5 linked regions of the Nothobranchius furzeri genome follow. The protein of the gene in region 3 interacts with the protein of the main gene of each other region in a biochemical or structural test. Links are inferred from orthologs where the notes say so. Each region holds a gene or a part of one and is shown on either strand. Other genes may lie near its edges. The genes, in order: ube2z, ube2wb, uba1, ube2c and ube2j2.

Evidence for each region.
Region 1: of the proteins of uba1 (region 3) and ube2z, one has a biochemical effect on the other in vitro, tested with the Homo sapiens proteins (3 studies listed by BioGRID). The link is inferred for Nothobranchius furzeri from reciprocal best matches to the Homo sapiens genes UBA1 and UBE2Z.
Region 2: of the proteins of uba1 (region 3) and ube2wb, one has a biochemical effect on the other in vitro, tested with the Homo sapiens proteins (5 studies listed by BioGRID, with this or other methods). The link is inferred for Nothobranchius furzeri from reciprocal best matches to the Homo sapiens genes UBA1 and UBE2W.
Region 4: of the proteins of uba1 (region 3) and ube2c, one has a biochemical effect on the other in vitro, tested with the Homo sapiens proteins (5 studies listed by BioGRID, with this or other methods). The link is inferred for Nothobranchius furzeri from reciprocal best matches to the Homo sapiens genes UBA1 and UBE2C.
Region 5: of the proteins of uba1 (region 3) and ube2j2, one has a biochemical effect on the other in vitro, tested with the Homo sapiens proteins (2 studies listed by BioGRID). The link is inferred for Nothobranchius furzeri from reciprocal best matches to the Homo sapiens genes UBA1 and UBE2J2.

The regions. Positions count from the first base shown.
Region 1 is NC_091758.1:15,254,694-15,258,903, forward strand, and holds the start of ube2z (ubiquitin-conjugating enzyme E2 Z), read left to right. Parts: upstream 1-1,404; 5' UTR 1,405-1,632; coding exon 1,633-2,066; intron 2,067-4,210. UniProt on the Homo sapiens protein: Catalyzes the covalent attachment of ubiquitin to other proteins. Specific substrate for UBA6, not charged with ubiquitin by UBE1. May be involved in apoptosis regulation.
Region 2 is NC_091747.1:53,051,274-53,054,791, reverse strand, and holds part of ube2wb (probable ubiquitin-conjugating enzyme E2 W-B), read left to right. Parts: intron 1-1,133; coding exon 1,134-1,236; intron 1,237-3,518. UniProt on the Homo sapiens protein: Accepts ubiquitin from the E1 complex and catalyzes its covalent attachment to other proteins.
Region 3 is NC_091755.1:24,213,249-24,216,766, reverse strand, and holds part of uba1 (ubiquitin-like modifier-activating enzyme 1), read left to right. Parts: intron 1-8; coding exon 9-155; intron 156-345; coding exon 346-522; intron 523-649; coding exon 650-757; intron 758-868; coding exon 869-949; intron 950-2,341; coding exon 2,342-2,494; intron 2,495-3,245; coding exon 3,246-3,411; intron 3,412-3,518. UniProt on the Homo sapiens protein: Catalyzes the first step in ubiquitin conjugation to mark cellular proteins for degradation through the ubiquitin-proteasome system.
Region 4 is NC_091743.1:77,062,391-77,066,378, reverse strand, and holds the start of ube2c (ubiquitin-conjugating enzyme E2 C), read left to right. Parts: upstream 1-1,174; 5' UTR 1,175-1,280; intron 1,281-1,526; 5' UTR 1,527-1,546; coding exon 1,547-1,653; intron 1,654-2,695; coding exon 2,696-2,723; intron 2,724-3,164; coding exon 3,165-3,251; intron 3,252-3,339; coding exon 3,340-3,544; intron 3,545-3,649; coding exon 3,650-3,709; intron 3,710-3,988. UniProt on the Homo sapiens protein: Accepts ubiquitin from the E1 complex and catalyzes its covalent attachment to other proteins. In vitro catalyzes 'Lys-11'- and 'Lys-48'-linked polyubiquitination.
Region 5 is NC_091743.1:52,925,546-52,928,126, forward strand, and holds the end of ube2j2 (ubiquitin-conjugating enzyme E2 J2), read left to right. Parts: intron 1-855; coding exon 856-896; intron 897-984; coding exon 985-1,087; intron 1,088-1,176; coding exon 1,177-1,315; intron 1,316-1,386; coding exon 1,387-1,467; intron 1,468-1,558; coding exon 1,559-1,849; 3' UTR 1,850-2,080; downstream 2,081-2,581. UniProt on the Homo sapiens protein: Catalyzes the covalent attachment of ubiquitin to other proteins. Seems to function in the selective degradation of misfolded membrane proteins from the endoplasmic reticulum (ERAD).

The sequences.
Region 1 (4,210 bases), on a different chromosome or scaffold from region 3:
GGGGGGGGGGGGGGGCGTCGACATGGTCGGGACATAGAAGGGGGTGCGCGGCTAAATAAGTTTGGGAACCACTGGCTTAGATAGTTGATTTCATATGAGCTTTATAGACCAATTGTAGAGTCCTATAATCAGCCAGATCGCCCAATTTTAATATTTGTACCACAGCCAATAATGCATTGGTTGGAGCTCTGACTACTTAGACTAATGATTGCTAATTTTTTGTAAAATCATAAATGGATTAGTGTATGTTTATATGTAATCCACAAATTTCAGTGCAATCCAGCATATATGGGACAATCACATGATTATATAAAACATTAAGCATTATATTTCAAAGACTCATTCACTCTGTTATCTGGTTATGCTAAAATGTCCACATACATTCAAGTTTTTATTTGTCTACACACACACACACACACACACACACACACACACACACACACACACACACACACACACGCACGCACGGACACACACACACACACACACACACACAGAGGCTGCACTCGCATACCGGTAAGCTAATGCGGGCGCGCTGACACACAACACAACTTCTCCTGCTACACTTCTTCTATAGGATAACAATTTTGATTGTTTTACTAGAAAATCCTGCAAATAAAATGTTTACCTCTCATCTGGACATTTACATCACACCACAAACAAGATAGCCGAAAATGTTCGTTATGCAGAACTGCAGCGATAAAAAATATGTCATTGGTGCTCCAGTCTTAGGTTTATCATATGGATCCAAACCATTTATAAGTCTGATTTTGTCCACATTCCGGTCCCCGACATATTTCTATAACATATCCCTGTTTATTCCGCATCCTTTAGGGATTTTATAATGTTGTTTAACACTTTCTTTCACCCAAATCCACTTCTTCTCTGCGACAGTACTGTTTGTTTCACGCTTTGTTTACACTTGTCAAGCTTCCAACATGTCCGCACACATCCCATAATGCTTTGCGTAATCACGTATGATCACAGTCTGATATTCAGGGTTTTCAGCTGTAATCATCACAGTTATAAGAAATAAAGGCTGAAACATCTGGATTTGCGTGGAACGAATCTGTGTCATCGTTTCACCTTTTAGGTTGTATTACTGACACTGATGCATTTTTGCTCCAGATTCTCGTTTTTCGAGGTTCACCTGTAGGTCTAACATGAAGTAAAGCGCTTAAATTGGACGTTTACTTTGAAGTCCTGACCGGATGTTACGTCGTTACCGTAACAACAAACTTGACATGAGGAAAAAACCCTTGAAGTTGTGGTATGTTGCTCGAACGGCGCTTATGTATTGAGTTGATAGCCATTTAACATCCTGTTTCCTCAGATAACCAACGAGTTAACAACACCTTTGGTGTTCATGTCTGTAACCAGGTGGGTGCTGCGGCTCTGCTAAACACGGAACTCTCTGGAGGCCCGGGAGGAATAAATACAGTTTAGCAAATAATACGTAGCCATCATCCGCGGGAAGCCCTGCCATGCCTCCTACCTGCCTGCGTGTTCTCTGATCACAATGAGAAATGAAACACTCGGAGGTCACTTCAGACTCTATTACCAATGAGGCTAACACCTAGCGTTGCAAGGTAGGCAGCAGCGGATTTACACTAGCTTGCTAGCTCGTGAGCCATGGCGGATAGCTTTGGAGAGGAGTGTGGCAGTGGTGCCTTTGGTTTAGGCGTCACCGAACAAGGCAGTGGAACCTTTCCTCTGCCGACTTTGGCCAACTCTCTTCCCGAGGGACACTCAGCAGCAAGCGGTGTAAACGCCAGCGCCAACTCGGCCTCTCCTCCACCCGCCACCACCGCACAGAGTGGCCTAACTGCTTTGGCTCCTGTCGCGTCTGCTGTCGGCTTTGGAAACACCTTTATTACGGGGTCATCACCACCTTTTATGGCAGTGTCTCCGATTGTGCACGCGTCCTCCTCTCTGCCCACCGTGGGGCTAGGGGTGGCAGGAGGGGGCCTCTTGTCCCAGATCCACGCCACTTCCTGGGATCCGACCCTCAGCACAGACTGGGACAACGAAAAGGCTTCCCAGCAGTGCATCTTGAGGATAAAGAGGTAAATTCTGTTTTTAATCAAGCCTTAAATTATTTCTGGATCCTTTCTATCATGTGTGTTTTTTCTATATAAGATACTCATTAGCCTTTGAATGAATTGTTTCTTGTGCTGCATCGTCTCCGCTGTCTAATCTCTGATTACTCAACCTTAATTCTGTCTTTTCCTTTTAGCTCTAAATTATAAATTTATTTGGGTTCTCATGTTTGTTGTTGTTGTGACATTTCATGCTAATTGTAAAGCATATTGAATTGCCCTTTGTTTGAAATGTGCTATAAGCTACCTTGCCTTTAATTCAGCTCCAAGGCTTTCCTACTAACCGTCACTGAGGTCTGCAAAACGATTATTAGCTTAATAAGAATATTTTCTGTAGAGTTTGCCTTTGCCAAAATAAAGAAATCATTTTGGTGACTGTGTTTAAGGACCCAAAAGTCATTTCATGCTGGGGAAAACCGAAAGTGTTTAACCAAAGAAGTAAAACCAGGAAATAGAACCTGATTCTGACGTCACTCACAAGGAAACCTGGTTTATTAGTGACTAAAATGTGTTGCTGATGGGATCATGGATCTCCCCTGTGCTAAAAGATTGCATAGGTTACAATATGACTATAAATAAAATTGTAAAAGGTAAGGAAACGCGTAGCACCGACACACCTGTCATTGGATCACAACAGAAATGAAAGCAGAATGCCTTCTGCAATAATAAAAAAACGCTAGTGTAGGGCTGGACGATATAGAAAAATATTCAAATTCAAATTCAAAACTACTTTATTAATCCCAGAGGGAAATTGATTGCTGTAGTAGCTCAGAATAATAATAATAATCAAGTCATCAAAGAGTTGTTGTATATTACAATGGCTGTTGGCAGGAAGGATCTCCAGTAGCGGTCAGTGTTGCAGCCAAACTGAAGAAGCCTCTGACTGAAGACACTCTTTCATTGTCGGACAGTCTTGTGAAGAGAAAGCTCAGGGTTGTCCATCATTTTCTTGATTCTCTGGAGAATCCTTCTTTGCATTATCTCCTCCAGCGGTTCCGAAACTGCCGAAACTCTGGCTGAGTCCTTGAAAGGGCTTGGAGTTCCTCCATCTTGTTGGGCAGTGATCTCACATTGCCCATTATGATCGATGGAAGAGACTGTTTGAATTTCCTCTTTCTCCGTCTCTGTTTAGCTCCCGCTCTGCACCCACGCTTCTTGCGTTTTAGCTCATTTGGGATTTGTGGCTTCAGTTGAGGTATTATTTCAGCCTTTCCAATGTTAATCAGTTGTTCCTGATTGTAAACCAGCTTGTTGCCATGGTTACGCATCATAAAAAATGCTCAAAAATTGAGAAAACCTAAAAAATAGCAGTAAAAATCCTCCAAGCTTCACAGCACCAGAAACGGAAAAGTAAAATGTCAAAACAAATACAGATTTTCTTGAGAAACTAGAAGAAAAAATGCCCAAGAAAAGGCAAAATTTACATACAGTCAACAGAGCTACTCCAACATGCAGCCGCCCAGAGCAGCGCAGTTCGTTAAAAATGTTTTTATATTCATCAATATAGATAATTATTAAAAAATATTTAAAAAATTGTAGAAAATATATTTTATGTGCAGCCCTGGCCGTTTTATTTTTGGTATTTTCATTTTTCTCCGTCTCTTCTTGCTGCGACATCTTTAGGATTGCCACAAACAACTATTTTAATAACCGACTAATCGCCAGTTTTGTTGACGATTAGTCGACTAATCGCCAACAAAACTGGCGATTAGTCGACTAATCGGGTCGTTCATAAAAGTTTAGCTTATTGCACCAGGATGCTCTAATATACTCATCTTTAGCTTCCAGGAGAGGTGTGACCAAGTCACTGCTTTGCAAGTCACAAGTAAGTCACAAGTCTTTTCAGTCAAGTCCAAGTCGAAGTAGAGTCCAAAGTCAATGATGTGGAAGTCCAAGTCAAGTCCAAGTCCTTAACTTTGAAGTTTCAAGTCATAATCACGTCATCTGTCCAACTTCAATTTAATGACAATCATAATAAATACATTCTAGAAATAAAACTTCTTAAAGCTTCATTTATTTGCTCAAACAAGCAGAACGTGCAACTGAATTATAAACAAAGTGCTGCTGCATTTAGAGGTACAACATCAAACCCAGAACGGAGAATGATTTAG
Region 2 (3,518 bases), on a different chromosome or scaffold from region 3:
AGATTAAAGTCCCATAGTTGTCACTAGGGCTGCACAATATATCGTAAATATATTGTTATCGCGATATCAGCTTGCACAATATGCATATCACAAAGAACAGATAAATATCGCAATGAATGATCAGCTCAAATGTTTGCTACACATAATGCATTCTGTCAATCAAATGGAAGCCTGATGTTTTTTTTAACAAATCAAATAGAGCTCTTCACCCATTTGGCCAAAAGGGTGGGTTCTCATAGATTAGATGCCCGCCCCTGAGGCGGACAGTACTTAATTTTGATGGTTAGCAAACACATGAGTTAGCTTTGTTCTGCTCTTTTTGCTGATTCTGCTTTTCCTGGGATCCACTGATTACCTTTTCTTGTTCATTATCTTTTTCCCTTTCCTCACATCTTTTGCTTTTCTCGTTTTTTTTTTTCTTCTTTGTTTTTGATTATTTTTGTTCATGAGATAAGTTTTTATTTATTGCAAGTAATATTGTTATCGCAATTTAATCATTGTTATCGAATATAGCCGGTTTTCCTAATATCGTGCAGCCCTAGTTGTCACACACACTTGTGTGGGGAGGCGCGGTGTGCTGCAGACACGGCTGCGCTCGGGAACTATTTCGTAGTTTAACCCCCCAATCCAACCCTTTAAAGCTGTGTCAAGCATTGGGTCCCATTTTTAAAGGCCAAGTAAAAATGCCTTTGTTACCAAGACGAGACCAAGCACATATAATATTAATATCAGATAAGGAGAAACAGCCAGCTGCTACCACTTCAACTTAAGGACAAACTACCAGAGTCCCAAAAAGAAAAAACACCATTTGAAGTCACAGACACCAAAGATGTTTAGGCATAGAAAAATGTGATTGTTGATTTGTGCTCTCCCATTTACTCTGGCAATGCGCATTCCCGTATTGGGGGGCGTGGCCTAGCCGACGGAGGTATGAGAGTCTTTTGACTGTGTTTATATGGAATGGCCAACTTGCTGTGCTGATTTGGTAAAGCAGCTTCAATACCAATGGTTCAGAAAATATGATTACCACCCCTGTAACGTTTATATTCGACAGTAAACATTTGGGTAACCTGTGTTCTTTATTGGGGCACCGGGGGAATGTTTTAGTCATCATTGTCCTTTTTTGTTTTTAGGTGGATTGTAGATATGGAGGGAGCGCCCGGTACACTCTATGAAGGAGAGAAATTTCAGCTGCTATTCAAATTTAGTAGTCGATATCCTTTTGATTCACCTCAGGTAAGAGCAAAGGGTGTGTGTGTGTGTGTGTGTGTGTGTGTGTGTGTGTGTGTGTGTGTGTGTGTGTGTGTGTGTGTGTGTGTGTGTGTGTGTGTTCGCATATTTAAATGGGTCCTACAATTCAACAACCACTTTTACCTTGTTGTTGAATAGAGGCAACTTGAGATGTCTATGTAGCGTACCAAAAAGTCTGCAACTTGTAAATTAGTAAAGTTGTAATGGTCACGGAGAAACGGTTCATCCTGACAAAAACTGGTTTAACGCGTCATAAGCATAGACGCACCTCCCTACATTAGCATGCTCCAACCCACTTCAACATCCGCAATGAATAAACTTTGATCTCAGTAATGCTAACTGCAGAAAAATGCTAGCCCGAGCTACTGCTAATGTTCTTATAAACAAAGGGAAAACACATGTAACGTTCCAGGATGTACAGGGTATATCCAAACTTATAATGAATGCCAGATAGATCTGTAGCTTTCTATTGAATAATATGGATATTGTACACTGCTGTACAGAGATTCTAGCTTGAGCAGTGTCATTGAGCCATTAAACCAGCCAATCAGCATGCAGCTCATTTAATATTCATTATCAGAGCTCCTAGGGCATTGTGGACCCCAACAAAGTGTCATGTGCTTTATATGGCGCTTGCACACTAGCGTCGTAACGGTCGGGGTTTGGTCGGGCAGGATGGCGTGAGTTTGGGCTGGTATGGTCGGTGTAGTGTTTACATATTAATCCGAGGAACTTCTCAAGATGCGGAAATCCCCAAGCCTGTGGGGGGCGCTTAATACGCGCGGGAAAGTCCGTTCCATAAGGTACCAAAAGGCGGACATGAGCTGTGTTGCTTTTGGAGACTCTGAACCACATTATTTTATTAATTTACTCTGTGTCCCCTCATAATCTTGTGCCGCCCACCCCCTGATTTCTCCCCTGAGCAGCTGTCTGCTTGCGAGGGGCAAGAGCTCCGATGCGGAGAATGGGAGCATGCATGCACACACACACACTCAAACAAAGCTATTCTTTTCTCCCGCTCCCACACTTAATAGCAGCTCCGGATCGGCAGCTCCGTGCAACAGACAGAAGTTAACTCAACAGCATCCAGCATGAAAATGAACCGCACATGCAGGAACCCCCGGCTGGCTGATTCTTCTCGCAGATCGGAGGCGGTAGGCGTAATTTCAGCCGGCCAGTCAGTCCGTAGTGTCGCCTCGGTCCCAGTCTGACCGCTGGGGAGAAGGTCTGGGAAAAAGTCGCCTCGGCACTGAAAACGCTAATCGGACCGGTGTGTGAAACCAAATTCCGGTGCCGTTCGGTACCTTATGGGCCCGTACCTACGCTAATGTGTAAGCGCCAATAGAGGCTCAAAGAAAAGCTGTTGTAGATCCACGTTTGTGGATCTTTATCCATACCATACCATACCAAGTTTATTTATAAAGCACATTTAAAAACAGCATGACAGCTGACCAAAGTGCTGTACAGTAGTAGTAAAAGGAAAACCCCAAGATAAAAACAAGATAAATATCATAAAAGAGATAAAAGGGATAACCTAAAAATGTAAAAGAAACATACTAGAGTAAAAACAAAGTCACAATAAAAACAATGCTAAAAGGTTAGCACATTTCAACAGGGAAGATTCTATAACAATAAAAGCTTGGTCATTGATCAAAAGCTAAATAGTAGAAGTAGTCCTTCAGTACAGACTTGAATCAACCCAGTTCTGGGGCCTGTCGAACACTAAGGGTGAGAGCATTCCAAAGTTTAGGAGCAGCGAACACAAAGGCCCGCTCCCCACGAGATTTATACTTCATTTTTGGGATGTACAAAAGTAAATGATCTGCTGATCTCAGGGTTCTGGGTGGAACATGAGGCATGAGCAGTTCTGACAGATGAGCAGAGGCTTGACCATTCAGGATGTTGTAAACTAAGGTTAAGACCTTAAACTGGATACGATATTTAACCGGCAGCTAGTGCAAGCGTGCAAGGACAGGTGAAATGTGACAGCGTCAAGAGGTGTTTGTCAGGAATCTAGCCGCTGCATTCTGCACTCTCTGAAGCCTTATCCAGCCTAGTTGAAAGGGTCACTCATTTCTTACACTGTCTTAGCTTCAGTTTTCTTTTATGATGTTTTGACAGTAATGTTTGAATTCAGCATCACTAGATGATCCGATATTGGCACCTATCTGTTAAGAGTTCTGCAGCGGGGGCACTAAAGCCCAGAGGACCACTTTTCTAAACTTAAGTGGAAAAACTTTTGTGTCTACCTTATGGGTGGCTGCATT
Region 3 (3,518 bases):
CTCTGCAGAAATCCATCTGCACCTCCATGGCCGAGCCAGAGTTCATGCTGACAGATTTTGCTAAATTTGACCATCCAGGACAACTTCATGCAGGCTTCCAGGCGATCCATGCATTCCAGAAGAAACACAGCCGCCTTCCGGCACCTTGGAGCCAGGTATCTGTCCGACTGCATAGTTGGAGGTTTAGTATCTAACGTATATTTTTGATTGACTGGCTCCACAGGAGCTATCCTGGAAGCCTTTGTAATGGCTAGCCCTGGTGATAACTCAGCAGAATGCATGGGCAGTGCCAGTGTGTATTTGATTTAGTGAGATTGGTAAATTGCTGAGCTTTGTGTTTTCCAGGCTGATGGTGAAGAGTTACTGACTTTGGCCAAGGAGGTGAACTCTGCTCAGACGGGCTCTGCCAAAGTGGAGCAGCTGAACGAAGCGCTCATCAAGAAGATGGCTTATGTCGCCGCCGGGGATCTTTCTCCTATCAATGCCTTCATCGGGGGCGTGGCTGCACAAGAAGTGATGAAGGTTGGAGGAAAATGCATAAACTAAGAGCTGCAGAATAAAAATCCAAAACCTTTTAACCAGACTTGAATGTTCAAAGTGATCAGTACAAATAAGTTTGTTAAATATTTTACATTCTGTGTCCTGTCAGGCCTCTACGGGGAAATTTATGCCTGTGATGCAGTGGCTGTACTTTGATGCTCTGGAGTGTCTGTCTGAAGGGGACGACGTCATGCTCACAGAGGAAGAGTGCTCGCCTGTCAGTGTTCAGAGAATATTAAAGTGTTTTTCACTGAAGACAAAACCACACGACTGCTGAGGAAAACCTCGGTGTTAACCTTTTTTTATTTTTACGTCTCTGCTTTTCTAGAGGAACTGTCGTTATGACGGGCAGATCGCCGTGTTTGGCACAAAGCTTCAGGATATGCTAGCCAACCAGCGCTACTTCCTGGTGAGTCACAATAGGGACTTTTAAACAGGAAGTGCCTTTAAAAATGTCTGAAAACGGTGGCACTACAGTAACTTTAAAAGTACACAGACTAATAATAATTTTGTATTTTTTGGCCTTACATGGGTTAAAGCAGGAATTGAGTTCTCCGTCGTGGCGACGGAAATCTGTCAGTTGGAATAATCAGAAAAAAGTTCAGTCAAAATCTCTTATTGCGCTCGCTTGGGTTTAGTAGTCTCTCGCTCTCTCCTGTTTCTAATTGAAACGCGCACCGGTATTGTTGAAACGTGTTTCTGCACCGCCCAAGCTGCAAAAACGCGTGCGCTCATTGCTCGCTCCCACGGTGCGCACAAACAAACTGCGCCCGCACCAGGCGCTGGGATTCTAACAGAGCCAATAAAGCTCTGATATCACAATGAGAGTTAACGTAATGAGCGGAACCAGGACCCAAATTCCCGGTGGGCCGATCTGAGGTCGGTGTTTTTAGTTGTCTCTTTGTTTTTTTCGGGCCTGTGTTCAGTCATGACGCTCTGCTGATCACCTGCTGATGAGAGGATTTCTCCTGTCAGTGGAACAGGTGAGCTGCTGAACAAGCGTTAGTTCCTAGAAACACTGTCTATGCCCAGACTAGTGACCTGTTATTTGTAATTTTATAATTAATATTAAGGGAATGCACTAAACCCACAAATGATGGAAGATGAGATTAAATATTATTAATCATATTACCATCAAATGTAAATAAGTATAACAGATAACTAATCTTGATGAAAAAATTATATTAATTTTTATTTTAATATTGATTATATTTAATTTCTACGGTGTGGATGTCTGTGAACATTACAGAATATTCAGATTGGTGTAAAGAACATGTTATTAATAACGGGTCATGATCTAAAGCTGGTCTGAGGTATAAAACTCTGCCCTGGGCCTAAAGCCCTGCAGATATATTTAGTTTCTATGAACACCAACAACAAATAAATAACAGCAGCTGGATTCTACTTTGTTCCTTAAATTGTGTCACGTAGTTTTTCAAGTTCTGCAGCTCACACGTTCATCATTGAGCCCTACCAGCTGATTGGTTCTTTTGGTATCTAGTGCAGTTCTGGTACTGAGCAGCATGGATGCATTAGTGGATTTCACTGTAGTCTGTGTTCATAATGGATTAAAGGACAGGAAAACATTAACTCAAATATGTCATTATAATGAACATGTATAGATACTTCATCATACATAGCTGCCAGCCTGTAACTACTTTCCCCCCAAAAATGCACCAGACTGATGCGTTTAAATATAAAATGTCCAATGTTTTTCCGGGGGGGCATGCTGCAGGTATGTATGTAGAGAAATGGCCCTTGTAGCTTGACTCACTGCATCCTCTGTCTGAAATCCTTCCAGGTGGGAGCCGGTGCCATCGGCTGTGAGCTGCTGAAAAACTTTGCCATGATTGGACTGGCGAGTGGGAACGGCGAGGTCATTGTGACCGACATGGACACCATAGAGAAATCTAATCTCAACAGACAGTTCCTCTTCAGACCCTCAGATGTTACTGTTAGTATCACCGACTGCTCAGTAGCTCAGATGTAAAGCACAAACAGGTGTCAGTCGTTTATGCACTACGTCTGGATGTTTATTTATTAATCATCACCAAACGGGCGCTAGCAATTGTTTAAATTAAAATATCAGAGACATCCAGACTGCTGCCGTTTTTTTATGTTGGACTACTCACTGTTACTACTACTACTACCACCACATACACACACACACACACACACAGTAGTCACATTAAATCAACAGGGTCTTTCCACTAAAGAATATGCTTTAAAACGGGCTGAACAGCACATCCTGAAATGTCTGGAGTTGTAGACGCGCTCGGTCAAGGAAATCCAACTGCGTCCAGCAGTGCAGGACATGGACCTGTTTGTCTGTAGGAGTCTGTCTTCATAAATGCATCAATTCTGTTAGGGACAGAAACGAAACTGGTTGCTGAAAAATGGCATCAGGTGTTCTGCACTGATGTGTCAACATTTTAAATATCTGGCTCAGTAAACGTCTGTTTGTCTGAAGGATCATCGAGTTGTTTCTGCAGCCAACAGTAACTCCTGGTGTTCTGTTTGATGCTTTAGTTCAGTTAATAGTTAAACTGCTGATGAATACTCCTCAATCATGCATCACTAGCAGGAAGGTGTGTTGTTACTTTTACCTCTTTAGAATTTACTAAATGTTGCATTATTAAAATAACATTCTGAAGTTCATAGATGACTTGGCTGCGTTCACATCTAGTTTTTATATATTTCAACAGAAAATGAAGAGTGACACAGCTGCTGCAGCGGTGAAGAAGATGAACCCCTCCATCAACATCACAGGCCATCAGAACCGAGTGGGCCCCGACACGGAGAAGGTCTACGATGATGACTTCTTTGAGAGCCTCGATGGCGTCGCCAATGCACTAGACAATGTTGATGCACGTAAGATGAACTTTAAATTGCTTAAAACATGCGCACGCTGATGAAGGAATGCAGTTTGGCTTTTTTTCTGTTACAAACCATCTTTTTATAGCTGCTTGTTTGTGTTT
Region 4 (3,988 bases), on a different chromosome or scaffold from region 3:
TTGTTGCTTTGAAAAAATAAACATGGGCTTACACACACACACACAATTCCCATCTCACCCTCCGCGGGTGGTCTCATCCAAGCTTGGGTCCTCTACCAGAGGCCTGGGAGCTTGAGGGTTCTGCAGTATCTTAGCTGTTCCTAGAGCTGCACTTTTCTGGACTGAGATGGTTTTCCTGGGATTCCTCCAGTCTGGGGGTTACTGCCCTGATGCCCATGAGCACCACCGATGTCTTCATTCTCCAGGCTTTCTCAAGTTCTTCTTTGAGGCCCAGGTAGTTTCTCATGCTCCTTTTTCCTGAGGTTACATCACTTTGTATCGCTATATCAACCACAACAGCTGTCCTCTGTTGTTTGTCCTCCAACACAATGTCCGGATGGTTCTCCATCACCATTTTATCAGTTTGGATCTGGAAGTCCCACAAGAGCTTGGCTCTTGTTCTCAACCACCTTAGGGGGTGTTACCCACTTTGACCTTGGGGCTTCCAGTCCATGCTCTGCACAGACGTTCCTGTACACTATGCCAGCAGCTTGGTTGTGGCGTTCCTTGTATGCTTTCCTTCCCAGCATCTTACACCCTGCAGTTATGTGGTGGATTGTCTCAGGGTTCTACACCTTGGGTCTTGTCTGGTGTGGTAGATGTTCAGGGCCTGTTCCTGTGCAGCCATGATGAGTGCCTCTGTGCTATTCTTCAGACCAGCTCTTTCTAGTTCTTGGTAGGATTTCTTGATATCAGCCACTTCATTATATATATATATATATATATATATATATATATATATATATATATATATATATATATATATATATATATATATATATATATATATATATATATATATTCCCCTCTGACCCTCTGCAGGTGTACTCATCCTCCCAAGCTCCAATTTTTGTGATCCATCATTTAACTTGATTTAGGCTCTTGACTCTTCTAGGAGATTTTATACATCCCTGTAGGAGGAGGGGTAAACAAAAATGTGTTTAATAACTTAGATTTTAAGTTCATTTATTTAAAAAACGCGTTTAAAATAACAAATTGAACCAATGACTTCCGCTGTGTGAACGCCTAGATGGTGGGGGCGGGTTCTGGCTGATTCTACTGGCCAATTACAGTGTAGCTTTTTAATCACCATCTTCTCATTGGTTCGATGAGGGTAGTTCATTTTTTGAAAGTCAGACACTGATTGGCTGTTTGTGAGGAAACGTCGTTTTAAACTGGGGGCGGCAGAAGAATCGGTTTGAATCTAGAGAATCCAGCCTTCCACCACGAACTGAACACCGGTGAGTGTTTAAATCAGCTATAGTATGGCTATAAATGTAATCATGTGTTAGCATGAAGACAAAGAGCCAGTGGTTCTGACCGGTACCACGAGGCACGGCTCAGCGTTTTCTCTGAAATCTCCGGGAGTTAGCATGTAGCTGCTGTTAGCTACAGAAGCTACGGCCCGCTCGGTTGGATTTGATCGGCTCGGTTCGGCCTGCCTCCCCTGCTCAGTCCGTCTGATGTTATATCTGTGTCCTCGGCAGGAGTCGGACTAGCAGCATTCATGGCCTCCCAGAATATGGACCCCGCCGCGGCTGCAGCTTCCTCCACGGCCGCTCTGAAAGGCAGCGAAAGCAGTGGCAACGCGACCAGAGGCTCGGTGACCAAACGGTGAGTTCCGGGCCGTTACAGAACCGGAACCTTACAGGTGTAAAGAATGGGTCGTTTACATCTTACTTCTGAACCATAAAATGTGAGATTCCATAGAAATATGAAATATCAATCTGATGGATCTTTGTTCAGAAGATCGGAACTTTTTATTGCAGGGATTAAGCAACACTTTGTACTAACTCCAAGGAAAGAGAGAGAGTCAGGTTTAAAATAGTTAAAGAAATGTACTTCTACACAATTTAAACAAGAATAACTTAAACACTGTGTACTGATGGAACTAAGGTGGTGTGTGTGTGTGTGTGTGTGTGTGTGTGTGTGTGTGTGATGTTGTTCAGAACCAGCGGCTCCGTAGAAGCAGTTAATTCTGAGTGGGAGTGAATGTTTTGCTCTAAACTTTAGTTGGAGATATATAACACACATGAAACGCCATCTGTCGGTCTACGTTTCTGCTGGACTTGGTTCTTCTTTGGACAATAAAATATCAATAACCCAGTGAGTTCTCCAGCAATGTGAGCCTGCAGCTGCATAACTAGAGATGTGCCAGGATAATCTAAACTAACCTAGAGTCTACGCAAAGGTGCTTCTGCTTGATGTGGTGGAAACATGAAGCTGGTTCCACCAGAGGAGCCTGAGAACTGGAAGTTCTGCCTCCTTACTACTTTTAGGACCGCTGGAAAGTTGAAGCCACAAGTAAAAAGCAGCCTGAGAGCCAAGTGTTCTGCTGGGAACATCTGGAACAAGAGCATCATTAATCGAAAAAGCGTGATCCTTCAGATTTGGAAATAAAATTGAAACTCAATTCTGGATATTTTAGCTAATGAAGTGATCCTAAAACTGAAGAAATCTGATCTCTCCTGGTTTTATTCATCACAAAAATGAATTTTATGAAACAGGAAAGTTTGAGTTGTTAACTGATCAGGTGCTTGAATTTTTTTTATTTGTGAAACAAATTGTTCTGTTATTGATCTTATTACTGCAGCTTATTTCTGGACCTGTGTTGCACTTGTTTAATTCGTATGTGTGTGTGTGTGTGTGTGTGTAGGTTGCAGCAGGAGCTGATGACTCTCATGGTAAGTTCACATCTATAGTTTTATTTTGGTTTCAATAACAAAATGAAAGATGGACGATCCTAACGGGTCACAGGACAGTTGTTAGTCAGAATGTTAACGAACCTGATGACCTGCACAAGTTCATCCTCATTGGGTGGTGGTGTTTACTCATTGATTGATGCACCCATAGTCACACGATCTCCTGCCTCAACACTAATGCAGAGTTGGTGCTGGTTAGGATGAGTGTTTAGCTTGAAGTGCACAGGTGGCGTTAGTCATCTGCAGGTCAGCTGCTCCGTTCTCATCCAGACACTTATCAATGATTTGTTTGTTTCTGTGATTGATTTCTCTGGTCTGATCATTCACACAGGAGCATCAATACCAACATACCTGACATTAGTAAAATCAACAAAACCTGATATTTCTGAGGTCATGTGACCTGTGCGTTCCTCCCTCCTGTAGATGTCGGGTGATAAGGGCATCTCTGCTTTTCCAGAATCGGATAATCTCTTCAAATGGGTCGGAACCATCGATGGAGCCCAAGGAACAGTATGACCACATAAATACAGCACGATCTAAAACTTGACCCCTCCACTTGCTGCTCTGATTCACCCGACACTCTTACCTGTGTGCCCAGGTGTACGAAGGCCTCCGGTACCGTCTGTCTCTGGAGTTTCCAGCTGGGTATCCGTACCATGCTCCTCGGGTAAAGTTCGTCACTCCGTGTTTCCATCCCAATGTGGACGATCAGGGCTTCATCTGTCTCGACATCCTGAAGGACAAGTGGTCGGCACTGTACGATGTTCGTTCTATCCTGCTGTCCATCCAGAGTCTACTGGGAGGTAACCGGAACCACCAGTTTGCTGTCTGCTAAAACCTGATGGATCCATCAGAGCCATCTTTGCACAGCTCAGAGAGCAGCACACAATTCCTTCTGTATTCCCCAGAACCAAACAACGAGAGTCCTCTGAACACGACCGCAGCAGAACTGTGGAGCAACCAAGGTGGTAAGTACACCCACAACCTTTCAGGCAGCCAGCAGAACCCAGAGAACGGCCAGCTACTAATACAATCGGTGTTTGGGTACTTTTGAGCAGTTCTCTTTTGTGACTTTGCTGGTGAAGGTTCTGTCATCCAGGTCATGGTAACCCAAAAGGATTCAAATGAAAGTGACTGGACTTCTTTGGTTTGAAGACGTTTCGCTTCTCATCCGAGGAGCTTTGTCAGTTCTAACTGGAAATGGGAGAGTCAAGCTTATAAGCTGTAGCTGCCTATTGTCTATAGAG
Region 5 (2,581 bases), on a different chromosome or scaffold from region 3:
CCGTTGTGTGGGAGAAGCATCGAAATGAACTGTTTAATCTGCCCATCATTTGTGTTGAGAGATCAGCAGCGTTTGGATCAACAAAGGGTGACTGCTTTGATAGTGGAAACTGTATTTATGGCTTATTTTTGTGCATTTAAACTTCAGCCGCCATTGATAGTTGTTAAAAGTTGTTAAACCTGTGCATATGAAAAGAAAAACGCTTTTTGTTATCGATTTATTGTGAAATAACGGAATTTTATTTTATTGCTTGCTCCCTTTCCTGTTGGGCGGTTGTGATTTCTGTCCATTGACTGCGGAGGTGCTCCGGCGTCCGGCAAAAATAGAATCGATCCTATTTTTGCCGGATGGCGGAACGGAGGGCGGCGCACTGCGCCGTACGGCCGCAGTAGTGGAACAGCTCTGACTACAACAGGACCGTTTTTGCTGCAGAGTTCGTGCCGGAGCGGAGCGGAGATAGTGGAATTTTGGGGTAATGGCATCCGTTGGTAAGGTCTTACTCAAAAACAAAAATGCCTCTTGCTTGCTAACTAACATTTTAGTGTGCAGCGCCTTATTTGGTTGTAATGCCTTGTGAATGCGCTTTATAAATAAAATTGGATTGGATTGGATTGGATTGTAATGATTTAGGTATGTCCTGCCCCCTGTGAGGGAAAATACACGTCATCACTTTAATCCAAAACTTTCTTTTTATTATAAATACAGACTCAAAGAAAAATACTCCTTTTTCAAGGAAAGTGCATTACAAATTAGTGTGTTTCTAGGCAATTGGTAATAATAATAAAAAAATCCCAGTTTTTAGGATATTTGGTATGTTTTATGGTTTTATTCATTGTATATATTTTTTTTCTGTAGGCACTATGTAGTCAGAGGTCCTGAGAAGACTCCATATGAAGGTAAGTATTTCTCATTACGTTTCCCGAATTGAATGTGTTTTCTCCAACTTTGTTTAATATTTTGTATTTTTGTCTTGTCCGTTTTCAGGGGGATATTATCACGGAAAACTCATATTTCCCAGAGAATTTCCTTTTAAGCCACCGAGTATTTATATGATAACACCAAATGGGAGATTCAAGTGCAACACGAGGTGAATCCCTACCCTTTGTGTCACTGATTGAAGACGGAAGCTTTTGAAGATGCTTTCATTCAGTTCTGTTTTTCTCTGTTTGTCCACAGGTTATGTTTGTCCATCACAGACTTCCATCCGGACACGTGGAATCCTGCTTGGTCAGTCTCAACGATCCTCACGGGTCTGCTCAGCTTTATGGTGGAGAAAGGACCAACACTTGGAAGCATTGAGACATCCGACTACACGGTGAGTGGAACAGGTGAGAGGATGGCGTGTAGCAAAGTAACAACAAATCAGTGGTGTTTTTTTCTCTCTAGAAAAGACAACTTTCAGCCCAAAGCCTGGCCTTTAACCTCAAAGACAAAGTGTTCTGTGAGCTCTTTCCTGATGTTGTGGAAGTAAGTATAAAGCAAGCACCACATTTCAGGACTTAAATGTCATCTTTGTGACATTTGATTTCAAAGTCTCCCATCTCTTTACCTTCACCAGGAAATCAGGCAGAAACAGAAGGCCCAAGAGGAGTTAAGTGTCCGCTCCCAGCCCCTTCCTTTACCCGACGTGGTACCTGATGGAGACCCTCAACATGCCCACTATGGGCTCCAGGCACTCAACGGAGGGCCAGCACCCGTGGGGGGTGCTAACCCCGCCCCTGGCCTGCAGCAGGCCAATCGAAACCACGGACTTTTAGGTGGAGCTTTAGCCAATCTGTTTGTGATCGTAGGCTTTGCAGCATTTGCGTACACGGTCAAATACGTTCTGAGGAGCATAGCCCAGGAGTAAAAGGAGCAGTCCCCTTCTCCCTGGAGCAAGCCAGCTAAATGACTCCAAACTATACAAACACATTATGAGGAGGAGGAATATTCCCCCCCTGAGCTAACCCCCTCCACAACAGCGACTACCACCGTGGACTTTGGAAGACAGAAACGAACCCTCTCTGGACGGTCTAAGGTTGGATTGGAGTGGGAGGGTCAACGGGGGCTCGGAGGGGTTTATTAAAACGGTTGTGATCCACTTTGTGCTGCAGTGGTTTATATTAGTCCTGGGAACAAACTTGGCTCATGGGTTGAGATTTCTGCCTAAATCCTTCAAAACAATTCTCACCATTTAGTAGCCGTCCTGAAAACGGAGGACGGAATTTTTAACAGTCAAAGACGCGCCGCATTTATTAAATCTGATAACTATTTGCCAAAGCAGACGAAATCATAAATATCACAGCTGTCAAGACTTCATATGTTTTTATTTAGAATTATTGTAGGATAATATATAAAAAATTAATTCATTAAAAGCTTTATTTAGCTTGAAATTTCATGAAAATTATCATCTGAGTCCCCTAGGTGTTGTCTGACTTCAGCGTTGGCTCTAAGCCTTTTCAGGATAGTTTAGTTTTTTTATTTTTATATGAATCCGTTCACTTCAGCTTTTCTCGTGTTTGAGGCGAAGTCTATTAAAGTAGTTTGATCCTCAAATGTGAGTAACTTCATCAGGTTGTAAAGTCTTTCTCACGGTGTCAGA